Tamandua tetradactyla: one gene and its partner. The protein of the gene in region 1 purifies or fractionates together with the protein of each later gene. This does not show direct contact. Links are inferred from orthologs where the notes say so. Each region holds a gene or a part of one and is shown in the gene's direction. Other genes may lie near its edges.

The links.
Region 2: the proteins of RPRD1B (region 1) and RPRD2 purify together in Homo sapiens (affinity purification with mass spectrometry; 4 studies listed by BioGRID and IntAct, counting the BioPlex papers as one, with this or other methods). This does not show direct contact. The link is inferred for Tamandua tetradactyla from reciprocal best matches to the Homo sapiens genes RPRD1B and RPRD2.

Annotation. Positions count from the first base shown.
Region 1 is NC_135327.1:14,129,283-14,136,970, reverse strand, and holds the start of RPRD1B (regulation of nuclear pre-mRNA domain-containing protein 1B), read left to right. Parts: upstream 1-4,559; 5' UTR 4,560-4,981; coding exon 4,982-5,132; intron 5,133-5,255; exon of another isoform or gene 5,256-5,919; coding exon of another isoform or gene 5,920-5,938; intron 5,939-7,688. UniProt on the Homo sapiens protein: Interacts with phosphorylated C-terminal heptapeptide repeat domain (CTD) of the largest RNA polymerase II subunit POLR2A, and participates in dephosphorylation of the CTD by RPAP2. Transcriptional regulator which enhances expression of CCND1.
Region 2 is NC_135330.1:5,448,943-5,456,714, reverse strand, and holds the start of RPRD2 (regulation of nuclear pre-mRNA domain-containing protein 2), read left to right. Parts: upstream 1-4,666; 5' UTR 4,667-4,695; coding exon 4,696-4,900; intron 4,901-7,772.

The DNA of each region.
Region 1 (7,688 bases):
AATGAAATCCTGAAAAATGTTCAAGTAACCCACAGTAAGTCAGGAAAAAGGAAATAGAGAAATGAAAAGAGAGAGCAAACAGAACACAAAAAGGAAAATAGCAGACTTAAGCTCTAATATATCAATAATTACATTAAATATAGACAGTCTAAAAACACCAACTAAAAAGACACCTTGGCAGGGGAGATGACCTACACACTGTCAACAAGAAATTCACTTCAAACATAACAACATAGGCAGGTCAAAAGAAAAAGGATGGAAAAAAAACACAAACATTACTTCAGGAAAAGCAGAAATAGCTACACTAATATCAGATAAAGTAGACCTTAGAGGAAAGTAAACTCCCAAAGAGAGAGAGGGACATTATATAATGATAAAAAAGGTCAATCCCCTCAAAATATATAATCCTAACGTGATTGCATCAAACAACAGAGCTGCAACACATGTGAAAGAAACTAAAAGAACTGAAAGGAGAAAAAGACAAATCCACAATTATAGTTGGAGACTTCAACACCCATTTTCAACAATTCATAGAACTAGACAGAAAATCAGCAAGAACATAGAAGAACTCAACACAATACCACCATTAACCAACAAAATCTAACAGACATTTATAGAACACTCCACTCTGCAAAAGCAGAATACATATTCTTTTTAAGTGACCATGGAACATACACCAAGATAGACCACATGCTGGGTCATAAAACAAACAAACACACTGAAAAGAACTGAAATGATACAGTGAGTTCCCTGGCCATAATGGAATCACAATACAAATGAATACTGAAAGATAACAGGAAAATGTCCAAACACCTGGAAACAACTTCTAAACAATCCACTGGTCAAAGAAAAAGACTCAAGAGAAATTAAAAAAATAATAATACAATGAACAGAATGCAAATGAAAATACAACAGTAAAATTTGTGGGACACAGTTAAAGCACTGCTGAGAGGGAAATTTATAGTACTAAATGCATATATTAAAAAAGCGGAAGAGTCTCAAATCAATAAAGTCCTACCTAAGGAACCTACAAAATGAACAGCAAAATAAACTCAAAGCAAGCAAAAAGAAGGAAATCATAAAGATATGAGCAGAAATCAATGAACTGAAGACAGAAAGCATTAAAGAAAATCAATGAAACAAAGCTAGTTCTTGAAAGAATCAATAATATTGACAAACTTCTAGCAAGAGTACTAAGAACAAAGAGTGAAGATGCAAATTACCAATATCAGAAATGAAACAGAATTCACCTTTTAAGTGTGAATAGACCTTGTAAGGGGATACTACAAACAACTCAAAACACATAAATTTGACAACTTAGACAAAATAGGTGAATTCCTCGACTACCACAAACTAACACATGCAACACAATATGAAATAGATGATTTGAACAACCCTATAACTATTTAGGAAACTGAATTTGCAATTTAAAAACTTCAAAAGTAGAAATCTCCAGACCCAGATGGTTTCACTGAAGAATTCCACCAAAAGTTTAAAGAATTAAAACCAATTAATTCTCCACAAACTCTTTCAGAAAACAGAAGAGGGGGGAACTTTTCATTTTATGAAGTTATTACTACCCTCACACCAAAACCAGACAAAGACAAAATAAAAAAACTACAGACTAATAGCCGTCGTGTTTATAGATGCAGAAATCTTAAACAAAATATCAGGAAATATAATTCAGCAATATATAAAAAGAATTACACAACATGACAAAGTGGGTTTTTTTCCAGGGATGCAAGACTGGCTCAAAATTTGAAAATTGCTCAGTGCAATGAATATGAATAGACTAACAAAGAAAAATCAGAGGATCACATCAGCCTCATTTTTCAGATGTATAAATGTTGACGTGTAGGAGGATTCGGTCACTGGGCCTCTACCTTTTTTTTTTTCACGCCTACTGCCCCTTATGATTTCCACATTTATCTCTAGCCCAGATCTCTCCTTTGAACTCCAGACCCACAAATCCAACTGCTCATTAGCCATCTCTACTTGATAGGCATTTTCAATTGAACATGTGAAATCCAAACACCAGCTCTTTCACCCCAAACTTGCTCTTTCCCAACGCAGTGAATGGAAACTCCATCCTGAGGACTACTTAGGTTAAAATCCTTGGGGCAATGTTAACTCCCCTCTCTCTTTTCATGCCCCATTATCCAAACTGACAGTAAATCCTGTTACTTCTTCCTCTAAGATGTCCCCAGAATCTGATCCCTTCTCACCAATTCACAGGCAACACCTTGGTCTGAGTCATCCTTTCAAATGAATTATTACAATAGCCACCTAACTGGTCTTCCTTCTTCTACCGTTGCACCCCTACTGTCTATTTTCTACTTAGCAGGCACAATGACCTCCTTTTGCTCAAAACTGTCTAATTTGGAGTAACATCCAAAGTACTTACTACGGCCTACAACTCTCCACCTGATCTGACTCTGCTACATTTCGGTGTTCATTTCCAGCCGCACTTCTGGTTCAAATCACTCCAGCATTACTGTACTCCTTGTCGTTCCTCAAAAATGCCAAAATGGTCTAACCTTAGGACTTTGCACTTGGTTTTCCCTCTCCCTGGAACAATATTCCACGATATAACACACGGGTTGTTCTCTCACTTTTTTAATATTAAGCACATTAAATAGAAGAATGTAATGTGCTTAATATACAATCACTTGGTATAAAAGTGCTCAATATATGACAGTGTTATTTAATACAAAGTCTAGAGTTGGACTCAAAAACCCTAGGCTATGATTATGATTTGTTATTAATTGTATGATTTTAGGCCACTCATCTTTTCTATATTAATCTGATCAAATGTCACCCTGTCAGTGAGGCCTTCTCTGACTATTATATATAAAATAGAATCCTATGCACTCATACATATAAAATCTCATCCCCCTACCCTTCTTGATTTTATCCAAGCACTTATCACTTTCTGACACATTTTATACTTGCATGTTTATTTATTTAACTTCCCTAGAAAATGTAAGCTTCCAAGAATATAGATTTTTGTCTGTTTGCCTAGAAAAGTGCTTCAGACATAAATCTTCAATACTTGTTGCTGAATGAATGAATAAACCACTGGCTTAATATTGAAGAATATGAGATCAGACATCAGACAATCTTGATTTGAATCCTGGTTCTGTCATTTCCTAGCTGTGAGATCTTAGGTTACTTAACCATGCTTTGTTTCCTCATCTATCAAATAGTGATAATTATTACCCCATAGAATTGTTGAAAGGATTAAATAGAAGAATGTAATGTGCTTAATATACAATCACTTGGTATAAAAGTGCTCAATATATGACAGTGTTATTTAATACAAAGTCTAGAGTTGGACTCAAAAACCCTAGGTTATGATTATGATTTGTTATTAATTGTATGATTTTAGGCCACTCATCTTTTCTATATTAATCCACTCACTCAGGAATCAGGGACCAGAGACAAAGAGATGGAAAAGATGTAGACCCTGCCCTCAAATCTTAGCAGTGATCTTGGTCGGGTCACTTAACTTCTCTGAGCCTCAGTTTCCTCATCTGTTATTTTGTAATTATATCATTTGTTATTTTGTAATTATATAATACTGACCCTGGCATTTTGTTGTGAGGATTAAATTAGTTACTATGTGAAAACAAGGTCTGGCACATAGCAAGCAATCATTAATTTTTAGCTATGATTAGGATGATTCTTGTCTGGAGGAGGGATAAAGGCATCTAAGCAAAGTATGTGATGCCTAGGGTCTGCCTACAATCGGGAGGTTCAACTACGATTGGGAAAATTTTAAAATGCTGTTATGGCAATGATATTCTAACTCCCTATCCTCATCCCTACAGCAGTTAGAAAGATAAAATTCTTTGCTGCTTTGATAACTGGATTTTAAAACTTTAAAAAGTTTTTAACATTAAAAATAATAGGATAAAAACATAATAATAGAATAAGCCCTCAGACTCTCAAATAGTGTTTCTCAAAGGTGGTCAATGGCCGCATTGGGAGGGTAAAATAAGTCCTCCCTCCTCCCCCTAAAAGTTTAATAGTATTTAACTTTAAGGACAAACTCCCATACTGGCAAGGACAGTCTGAACGAATCACCAATTAAGAACACAAAGGTGTAGCATTTAACTAAATGCACCGACTAAATGTCAGAACTGGACATTAAAGAGTGGGTCCTGGAAGACCTGGTGAGAAAGTGGTCGATACCTTTGGGGAGAGAACAGCAAAAGCCAAAGCACGGCCACGTGAAAGTGCAACAAAACAAAAAGCTTTCTGTTGGCGGCCTAAGAGCAGAACATGTATGGCGTTCAAGTGCGACCTGGAAAAGACCAGGTAAGGGAAGAAGCCCTCCCCCATACCCAGGCCATGATGTTTCAGCTTCGATGTCACCTCAGGATGCCTTCTCAGGCTTCCGTCCTGCTAAGCTCCCTCTTGGTCCCGCCACTACTCTCTTACCTCGTCTTCCAGTCTTTCCCCTGTCTTTCTCTCTCCCGCCTCCTACACCCCGCCGGAAGTGACGCGATAACGAGCGCGCCGTACCGCACTAGAAAAGTTCCGCGGGCGCGGGAAAAAGGGTTCTTTTTAGACTCACTGCGCCGGCGTGCTGGCGCGATCGCTCAAAGCGCCTTAGGACATCCGCGGAACTGAGCTCCTCTCTCTGTCTGTCGCCTTTGAAGTACCCCGAGCGAGGTCGAGAGAGGACGCTATCACTGGTGGGGCGTTACTCTACAGCTCCGGGTGCCTAGTTATTACGGCTCTTGCCCTTTGACCCCGATTTCGCGGGGGGTGAGAGGTCGGTGGCCATCTTGTGGCGGCGGCGCGGACGGCTGTTACTGCGGAGACCTATCCCATCCCCCCTCCATCACCCGGGCAGTCTGTCAGTCAGTAAAAAAGTCCGGCAGTCTCTCAAGTGAGGCTCTGGCCTGGTGCAGTTGCACTTACCGCCGTTCTCGGCGGTCCAGGCCGCTTCCTGCCGGGCCTCATTGCCGCCACCATGTCCTCCTTCTCCGAGTCGGCTCTAGAGAAGAAGCTCTCTGAGCTGAGCAACTCTCAGCAGAGCGTGCAGACCCTGTCCCTGTGGCTCATCCACCACCGCAAGCACGCGGGACCCATCGTCTCCGTGTGGCACCGCGAGCTGCGCAAAGGTAAATATCCCCTCCCCGCCCCCTTGTGCGCATCCCTGGTTGCCCTCTTCTCCCATGCCCCTCTAACTTCTCAACTGAGCCTTGTTTTCTAGGCTCGGGCTTCTGAGTTTGGAGAGTGTTATCCTCATTTCTTGGAGAAAGAAACGGAGGCCCAGGAACGGTTAAGGCACTTGTCTGAGGTCCCTCGAACCACGGCCCAGGTTCCTAGACTTCAGATCATCAGGCTGTTTTTCTCTTAGGCTCCTCCTCACACTTCTATTATTTTCGGCAGCATTCGACGTCCGGTGGAGGGTACAGGCCTTAGCCTGTTATCTACCGAGCGCTGTGCTGGGCATTTGGAGTAAGATAGATTCCTTGCTTGATATTGGGCCAGTTTCTTCATCTATGCCTCTGTTTTCACATCGTAAGACGGGAGCAAGAATCGCTACCACTTATGTACAGAGCTTTTACTCTGGGCCAGCCATAATGCTGGTACTTAAAGTATGTCCTTTCACTCAGTCCTTTGAACAGCCCTATGAAGGGGTACAGTTACCCACACTGAATAGAGAGCCTAAGGGGCCACACCATCTAGACCTTATCTCTCAGGCCTCACTCTCATGCAGCTGCTATTGGTTCCAGACTGCTCAGGATCTGACAGATGCAATGATCTCAGCCTATTATGTGCCAGGCACTGGGCACTTGATAGTATGTTGGCTCCAGAGGCCAGTTGCCTGGAATCTAAGCCTGACTGCCACTTACTAACACCAGCAACTTAACCTCTCTGTCTCTCAGTTTCCTTATTTATAAAATGGGGATGATGATAACTGGTATTGTCCCTTTATTATGTTCTAGTAACTTAATAGCATTGCATACATTGTTGTTGTTTGTTTTTCATTCTGAGGGATTTGTTGAAGTAGGAACTTTGTAGATGAGGAAAAACTGGAGCTCAACCAACTCCTTATTATGGTGAAAAATAAGCAGAATAATCCAGATGAAAATCTAGCATGTTGTCAGGTATAATGTAGACATTTGAGAAATCGTGATGAGATGGGACTGTTGACTATTCAGTGTGAGGTATGGTCTTTGCCTTCAGAAAGTTGCTTGCAGTCTAGTAGGGAAAGATGGGAATCTACACAGCTATCTGATGTGAGTGCTGTAACAGAAGGATGAGGAGTTGTTCTCGATAGTGTATATGTGGTAGGCCATTTATTGTATAGGAAGTGACTTTACATGAACTCTCAACTGTATGTAATGTAGGAGATGTCACTTTTACTTGGCAGATGAGGAAACTGAAACTTTGAGTGGCTAACTGTTATTTTCAAGGCCTTAGAGCTGGTGAGGTGCAGACCATATCAGGCTGACTCTCAAATATCATATGTTAAACTGAGAGAGGGATCCTCAGAAGGATCTAATCAGTTGGCTAGAGCCTGAAACTACCAGAGCCTTCTCATACCCCAATATGCCTTTTAAATATTATTTGTAACTTGTGCTGAGATGTGAAAAAGAAAGTGAATCACCTCTCTGTAAACTCCTGTTGGGTAGGATCTCAGAGATGGATCAACGCCTATCTCAAATATTACTTCTGTGAAATCTTCCTGATTCCTCAACTTGCCATATCTGAGTTATTTATTTTTGAAGTTGCTTTATTCTTAATCTCATTTGATAGAGCCTTGTGTTTGTTGTAGGTAGGCTGCTGTTATCCCCATTTTATAGATGAATGACATCTTCTTGATCAAAGGTATAAAGAGATAGGACATGAGCCCAAGACTCTCTGATGCCAAAACTTGTGCTCTTCCAAGTACTCAGTGCCTCCATGCCCATAATAAGTGAAGGTTATAACTCCAGCCAAACCCAGCTTTTCTTTATTAGAATTAATCACTGCCTCCCACCCCCTTAAAGCAATTTAGCATTTATTTCATTCTTACAAGTTAAGTCCTTTTCACTAGGTTGTGTTTTGAGCGAGGAACTATACATTATTCGTTCCTTTAATGACCATAGCATTTAACATGGTATATGTTACATAGTTAATAAATAGGAGTTAAACTGTGGTCTCTGACACCACTTTCACGATAAGGATCTAAGCAGCACTGTCCAATAGAACTTCTGTGGTGATAGAGATGGTCTGTATCTGTGCTGTCCAGCGAGGTAGTCACTAGCTACTTGCTTTTGAGCACTTGAAATGTGCAACTGAGGAATTGAATTATCAAATAAATACAAATAAAAGATCGATTCCCAAGTTGCAAAAGCCACAGTTCAAATATTGTTCAGTAGCCACATGTGGCCTGTGACTGTCATGCTGGGCATCATCAAGATGTAGCTTCTTAGGCTTCTTTCATGAATTGAAAGAGCCCCACAAGGAAGGAGAAAGGATTTTGTCCCCTAACGTTCAATAGCCTTTTTGGATTCTATTCTATGCCACCCTGATTCTTCAAAAAATGAATATTTCTACCTGTGGTCAAGTCATTTGTCCTGTGTAAAATGTTCGCAGGTATCTCTTGAGTTGCCTTCAAGATATTAATAAGACTTATAAAAACTACTTTTTCCTGCTTAAATATTCCTTTTTTCCCCCTACTCTTG
Region 2 (7,772 bases), on another chromosome or scaffold:
GATTTGCAATTTTAAGGCTTTCATAAGAGTTGGGAAATTTTCAGTGATAATTTCCTCCATTAGTTTTTCTCCTCCTTTCCCCTTCTCTTCTCCTTCTGGGACACCCACAACACGTATATTTGTGCGCTTCACATTGTCTTTCAATTCCCTGAGTCCCTGCTCATATTTTTCCATTTTTTTTCCTATAGTTTCTGTTTCTTGTCGGATTACAGATGTTCCGTCTCCAGTTCAGAAATCCTATGTTCTGTCTCTCGAAATCTACCATTGTAGGTTTCCGTTGTTTTTTTTTCATCTCTTCTACTCTGTCTTTCATTCCCATAAGTTCTGTGATTTGTTTTTTCAGACTTTCAGTTTCTTCTTTTTGTTCTTTCCTTGCCTTCTTTATATCCTCCCTCAATTCATTGATTTGGTTTTTGATGAGGTTTTCCATGTCTGTTCGTACATTCTGAATTAATTGTTTCAGCTCCTGTATGTCATTTGAATTGCTGGTTTGTTCCTTTGACTGGGCCATATCTTCAATTTTCCTAGTGTGATTTGTTATTTTTTGCTGGTGTCTAGGCATTTAATTACCTTAATTAGTTTATTCTGGAGATTGCTTTCACTTCTTTTATCTAGGGTTTTCTTGCTGGATGAATTTGTTGTCTATCTGTTCTTTGACATTCCGTTCAGTTTTAGATGAAACTTTAGCTTAAGTTTTGTTTAACAGAGCACAAATTTTCAGTTCTTGTTTTCTTGTTTCTTGCCCTGCTTGTGTGGTGCCTTTCCCCAACACACACACTTAGGAGGGTCTACTTAGATATTATATACCCCAGCCAGATTTTCCCAGACCAAACTGGCCTCCTATCAGGAGGAAAGAGTCACCTGCGTTGGTTTTCCCTGAGGGTGAGACCCAGCAGGTTGAGACTTTCCTGTGAGGTCTCTAACTCTGTTTTTCTTCTCCTGCCCTGTGTGTGGGGCTTGTCTGACTGCAGGTCCCACCAGCATAAGATGATGTGGTACCTTTAACTTTGGCAGACTCTCCCTGCTGGGGGCGGGGTGGAGACAGAGGAGAGATTGTAGGCTGGTTTTAATGGCTTCAAATTACCAAGCCCTGGGGTCTGAATTCTTTGAGGGAGGGCTTCCACCTGAGTTGTGCTTAACCCCTCCCCTGGGGAAGGCACAGGCTCCAGACAAGCCCCCAAAAGAGCTCACTTCTGCCTGTGCCTGGGGCAGTTGCAGCTTGAAAAGTCCTGCTGCTGTATCCAGAGGCAGTCAAGCCACAAAAACCTCTGTTTCCTTCTTTTTTCCCCCCTTTTTCTGTCAGTCCTGCCCCCTTGGCGCTGGGGCAAAAATGAGCAACCTCCGCTTTGATCATGTTCGCCTAAGCTGGGGGCCTATTTTTAGTAGTCAGAATTTGTTAATTAGTTCCACAATTGGCATTTGATTGTGCCCAGTTCCTGCTGCTGGTAAAGTCTCTTTCCTTTCCCCTCTGGGAAGTGGCCTGTGGGGGAGGGGCGCTGGCCACGGCAGCTTTGGGAACTCACGGTTCTGGCGGGGGGTGCTTGTAGCCAGTCCAGTTGGTCCAGATTGGGGTACGCTGTATGTCTGGTCACTGATGTGGCCCCAGGAGCTGTTCTGTATTGTTTCTGGTTATTTAGTAGTTGTTCTGAAGGATGAACTAAAACGCGCACGTTGTTAAGCCGCCATCTTTACCCGGAAGCCCTGAGCTTTTTCTTTTTATTTCTTTTACTGGAATGATGCACACATTCTAAAAAATGATCATGGTGATGAATACACAACTATGTGGTGATATTGTCAGCCACTGATTGTATACCATATATGGACTGTGTGTGATTTGTCAATACAAATACTTAAAAAAATAACAAAAATCCTTGGTGTCCGTTCTGGTTTGCTAGCTCCCGGAATGCAATATACCAGAAACGGAATGGCTTTTAAGAAGGGGAATTTAATAAGTTGCTAGTTTCAAGTTCTAAGGCTGAGAAAATTCCCCAATTAAAACAAATTATAGAAATGTCCAATTTAAGGCATCCATCCAGGGAAAGATACCTTGGTTCAAAAAGGCCAAAGAAGTTCAGGGTTTATGTTTCAAATGAGAAGGCACATGGTGAACACAGGGCTTCTCTCTCAGCTGGAAGGGCACATGGCAAACATGGTGTCATCTGCTAGCTTTCTCTCCTGGCTTCCGGTTTCATGAAGCTCCCTGGGAGGCATGTTCCTTCTTCATCTCCAAAGGTCACTGGCTGGTGGACTCTGCTTCTTGTGGCTATGTCATTCTGCTCTGCCCTCTCCGGATCGCTTTCATTCTTCAAAATGTTTCCTCTTTTATAGGACTCCATAAATTTATGAAGACCCACCCAAATTGGTGGAGACAGGTCATCACCTAATCCAGTTTAACAACCACTCTTCATTAAACCACATCTACAGAGAGATGATCTAATTACAGTTTCAAACATATAGTATTGAATAGGGATTATTCTGCCCCTATGAAATGGGATTTAGATTAAAACATGGCTTTTCTAGGGGACACACATCCTTCCAAACCAGCACAGTGTCATACTTGACTCATTTTCTCATATTCCATATACACCCATGAGGGATTTTTTTGGCCCTGCCTTCAAAATAGATCCAGGATCTGACCACTTCTCATCTGTTTTGCTACACCCAGTCATGTAACTTTTTTGCTTAAAAACTCCTGTTTAAAATAGCTTCTCATCTCAGAGTTAAAAAAAAAAAAGAAAAAGAAAAACCAACCTCAGTGTTATAAGCCTTACAGTGACCTACAAGGCTCTACATGAACTCCCTCTTTTTTCACCTTTCAGATATCACATTTTACCACTTGCCCTGGCTCTTACTCTCCAACCACTTAGACTCCTTGTTCTTCCTCTATTATACTAAGACAGCCCTGTTTTAGCGCCTTTACCCTGCTGTTCCTCTTTGCTTCCCTCCCCGTTTGGTTACCTTGCTGTCAACACTGAGATCCAATGTCATTTCCCTCCAGAAGACTTCCTAGATCATCACACCAGATTAGCATACCTATACGGAACATACACATGCACACATCCCACTCGCTCTTCATGAATGTTTCGTATAACTTATTTCTACCTGATGTATACTTGGCGGTGGTGCCCTACCCCAAGCCCAGATGGAAGGCCTTTATTCTGTCTTGCTCTGGACGGGCCCTCAACACCTACAACAGTACTTGGGGCGAGGACGTTCAACTGTAACTTACTGCTACTGAATACTAGACATGAACTTGACAAAACGGGTTCCCTGCCTCAAGAAACTTGACTCTTCCGGGAAAACATCAGAAGATTTAAAACACGATACTTGTATGTAGGGACAAAGGAGCCCCCAGATGTTCCCAGAGAAATTTACATAGGGAGATAAGGCGACAATGGCTCATCTGAGGCGTGCTCATCGATTTAATATATTAAAGTCTTCTCAACTTAACGTAGCAAGCAATTGTGAGACTGTATCCCAACTCTGAAGGCGAGGTCACATCTCGCCTTTTATTCTCTCATCTCGAAAATTTTAGAGGGGTGTTTTTCCCTTCACTTTGTCGTTTGTTTTCTCTTCCTACAAGCCCAACGACCACTGGCTGAGAGCGGCACCGGCCGGCCAGGGAGGGAAACAGCGTGCTGAGAACAGCCTGCGAAGCGCAGGGGCTGCGGCTGGCGCATGCGCAGGCGCACAATCCGACCAGCCGCAAGATGGTGGCAAGCTATTTTGTCCCGCGTTGTTGCTCCGTGGAGTTTTAGTGGCGGCCGGAGCTGCAGCCTCTAGAAAATAACAGTAGTTTCCGAGCAGTGGGAGTTTTCCGGCTCCGTTTTGTGAGCTGAGAGACGGACCACGGCAGGAAGCCGAAGGCAGAGTGGCAGAGCCCTTCCCCCAAGCCTCTCAGCCAAACCAACTTCTCCCCCGAGCCGGCCCCGTTTTTCCTCCCAGCCGCTATAGGCTGAGCTGCTGCGCAGGCGCACAAGTAATGGACGCGCCGCCTTGGCCCTTGAGGCGTGCGCGCCCCTGCGCGCCCTTCTCGTTCTTTCCCTTGATTGGTCAGACTGCCCCGCCATCCCGCCTCCTCTGCTCTGGGTTGTGAAGGAAGCGGGGCGGGGTCTAGCGGCGCGTGCGCGATACTATTGCTGTCCCTTTGCTGCTGTTGCGTTGCAAAAAAAAAAAAAAAAAAAAGTCCTGACTAGGTAGCGTTGGGCCTTTTCTGTGCTAGGGGATCTAAGGGAGAAAGATTTCTGCAACTGAGAGCGGCGGTCGGGTGGCATTAAATTTAAGAAATTAACGCCCGCCCCTACTCAGAGGAGGGTGGGTTAGGGGTGGGGAAGGGCCTTAGAGTTATAAAACCATTACTTTCGGGGCTGGGCGCTTGAAAGGCTTTGCAGGTCCTGTTTTTTTGTTTGTTTGTTTGTTTTTGCGTAGTTCTTTCGTGGTTACTGACTGGTTTAAACACGACCCCTTGAACAGTACCGATCACCCTGGACACCCGCCGCCCCCGCTCGCAGCGTGTGGGGCCGCCAGCGCGCCGGGCCGCGGGTCCTGCAGTCCGAGAGCCGGGAAGGCCCCGCGCGCCCCGCCCCGCCCCTGCTCCCGCCGCGGCGTCCGCGCTCTCGCAGGGATCGTTCTCCCCGTCCCGCCGCCGCCGCCGCCGCCGCCTGAGGAGCAGCGGCGCCTGTGCACACCGCGAAGATGGCTGCCGGCGGCGGCGGCGGCGGCGGCAAGGCCTCGTCCTCGTCGGCCTCCGCGGCGGGCGCACTGGAGGCCTCGCTGGACCGAAAACTCCAGTCGGTAACTAACACCATGGAGTCCATTCAAGGCTTGTCGTCGTGGTGCATAGAGAACAAGAAACACCACAGCACTATCGTCTACCACTGGATGAAGTGGCTGCGGAGATGTGAGTGTCGGGGTGGCCGGGGCCTGGGAGCCGGGGGCCGGGGAGCCGGGGAGCCGGGGGAGGGAAGGAAAGCCTTCCCGAAGCGTTGGGTCTTCCCGCGGAGCCGCTGCCTTCGCGTGCGGCTGGCCCCGTCCAGGCCTTGACCCGAGCGCTCCCGGGCGCAGCCTGCCCTCCTCGGCAGCGCTGTGCTGGGCTGCGGGAGGCTCAGTGCGTGGGTTTTTTAGCCGCAGATTTGGCTTGACCTTGGGCCGTTGGGCCCCGATCCGCAGGTGTTTACACATTCTTTCCTGGCCGAGGCTACCGAGGTGTGCCGTTGACTGGACTGACCCTGCACGGACATGACCGCGTCCGTTTATTTCCTATAGGCCTTGACGTGGTAACGAGTCCTTCTCCTGGCAGTAAACAAACTGTTCTAAGTAGTAGCGAATCCGTCCCCTTCTCCGGAATGTGTGGGGCGGCTCTGCCTTTCCCGCTGACCTCTCCTTGTGATGTGTAATGAGGGGGCCTTACCTGGCTGAATGCCATCCGGCAGCCACCTGAGCTCCACACAGAGCTGCGGCCACCACTGGGGCTGTTTTTCCTGGACCTGTGTTTGCTGCAGTAAAATACGGGCTCTTTTGATACTGACCGGAAACAGCTGAAATACTCTAATCAGCGTTATCACTAATACCTTAAAATGCAAAACATATCCATATTAGCTTGAAATGTCTTTTTCCCATTTTGAGATTGATTTCATAGGTACTCAAAACAGGAAATGTACTTTTGGAGTATGTAGTTCTTTTAATTTTTCAGTTATTACTTTTTTGTCTTCATCGTGGAGTTTTTTCCACTGCTTTTTTGCTGCTTTGCTATGGAAAAGAGGTCTGTTAAGCTTCCAGGAAGCATAGGTTTGTTTGCAAAGGATTTCAAATCTAAGAGGAGGGAGGTGTGGACAAGTGACTATCGCTCCTTGCTGAGAAGAGGAGGTAGCCCTAGCTCCATATATATCCATTTGAATTTTATCCATTGAATAAATTGTGCTCATTGTGTATATCCATTTTGTTGCTTCTTGTCTGTGGCATGTCACCTTTGAGTCCCATCGTCCAGTTATTCTTGTTTCTTTTTCTACTTCTATTTATCCCAGCCCCTGTATTGATAGAGCTTGCAAAATTATAAGCCCCAAGTTTCCAGCTATTTGTGTATAAGGTTAATTGTTGAGACAGATGATTTTGTGGTTCTTTGAATAATAATGATGAAAAGTTAGGAGAGCCAAGACAGGATTACCTATATTTTACAAATACTTACTTTCTTCCCAACAGGTAAAATTGAAAAGTGTAATATCAAACATGATGATAGTTGTCATCAAAGACTCTCATTTATTGAATATCTCCTATGTGCCCAGCCTTTTATTGTGATTTAGAGTAACATCTATCTCATTATTTCTGAAAATAATCCTGAGAAGTAGATTTTTCTAATCACTGATTTACAGATGAGGAAACCAAGACTATGACATGTTAAGTTTCTTAGGAGTTGAGTACAAGGCAAAATAGTGGAATCAGGACTTGATTCTGCCAGATCAGGTGACAGTGATCACGTTTAGCCTTGTAAAATAATATTTTCAAGATTATTCTTTAATGTACTGGGAACACGAATGTACTTGCTACACCAGTGGTAGCAAGCAGTGCTACGGATTATTCTAACATTTATTTAACATTTTCTACCTTTGGGCTCTGAATTTGCAGAAATAGGTTGTTCCCAATGTCTGCCTTGTGGCAATTACAAGTGACAGTTAAAATGTTTTTTTCTGGTCAGCAATAATGAAATACACTGGGGCCAAAATTTTTCTACCTTGACTGGTTATTGATATTATGCCTGAACCTGTTTCCCTTCTTGGTATCAATAGTGAAAAATGATCGTTTTAGGAAGGCAATAATTAATTTGAAGCGCATTGTATACAGTTTATATAGTTAATACTTATGACTTTCCAATGCCCAGTTGTTTTCCTAGTGGAATAGAACTTAAGTTTCTAAAATGGTTATTTTTAAGGTTAATTTGGAGTGGTTTTGTGTTTATTTACATTTAATGAATATCATCCATTTAATAAGTAAAGCGTTTTTTAGAGAGAAATATTAAGGGTTATGGTGAAGGGCAGGATTGTAGTAGTTTATGCATTGGGCCTTATTTCCATTTACATTGTAGTTTGTTTACAGTTAGACCAGTTTCAATTTGAGTTTGGTTTCTAAGTTGGCTTTAGGTAAAACTGTCTGGCATTTTAGCCTTTCTTTCTGTTATCCTGATGCTGCTTTTTCTTCTCATTTTTTCTTTTGTCATCCATTCTTATTTAGTAATTTATATTTATCCTTAGTGTGTATTTAAGTAACTGTGTTAGCTCTTCCAGAGATATTCTCATTTTATCCTTTATTTCATCATGTGTAATAAGAGACTTTTTGTTCATTTAAAGGAAATAATTTAGAGACGGCAAGTAGGCTCCCTGAAGTTATACTCCTATGGAGGAATTCTACTGATTTTATTCAGGCTTCTTTTAATTTTCATGGCTGAAGCATTTATTACCATCATTTTCTAATGTGATTTTTCTGTAGCATAAAAGAATGTCCTTCCTGAGCTTTAAAAGCCTCAGTGATGTCCTTCTGAACCAGCATTAAAAGCCAGATATTTACTACAGTCTACCAGATTCTACGTCTGTCCTGCTCACCTCTCAGACTTCTTCAAATTCTGGCTTATCATTATTCAGACTTCAGTTCAAATATTTACTTACCAGAAAGGCCTTCCCTGATCATCTTGTTTCAGCTGGTCTCTTTCTTTGCTCACTATCATATCATTTTATTTTTAGTATATGATATTACTTTAATTATTTGCTTACGTGCTTATTGTT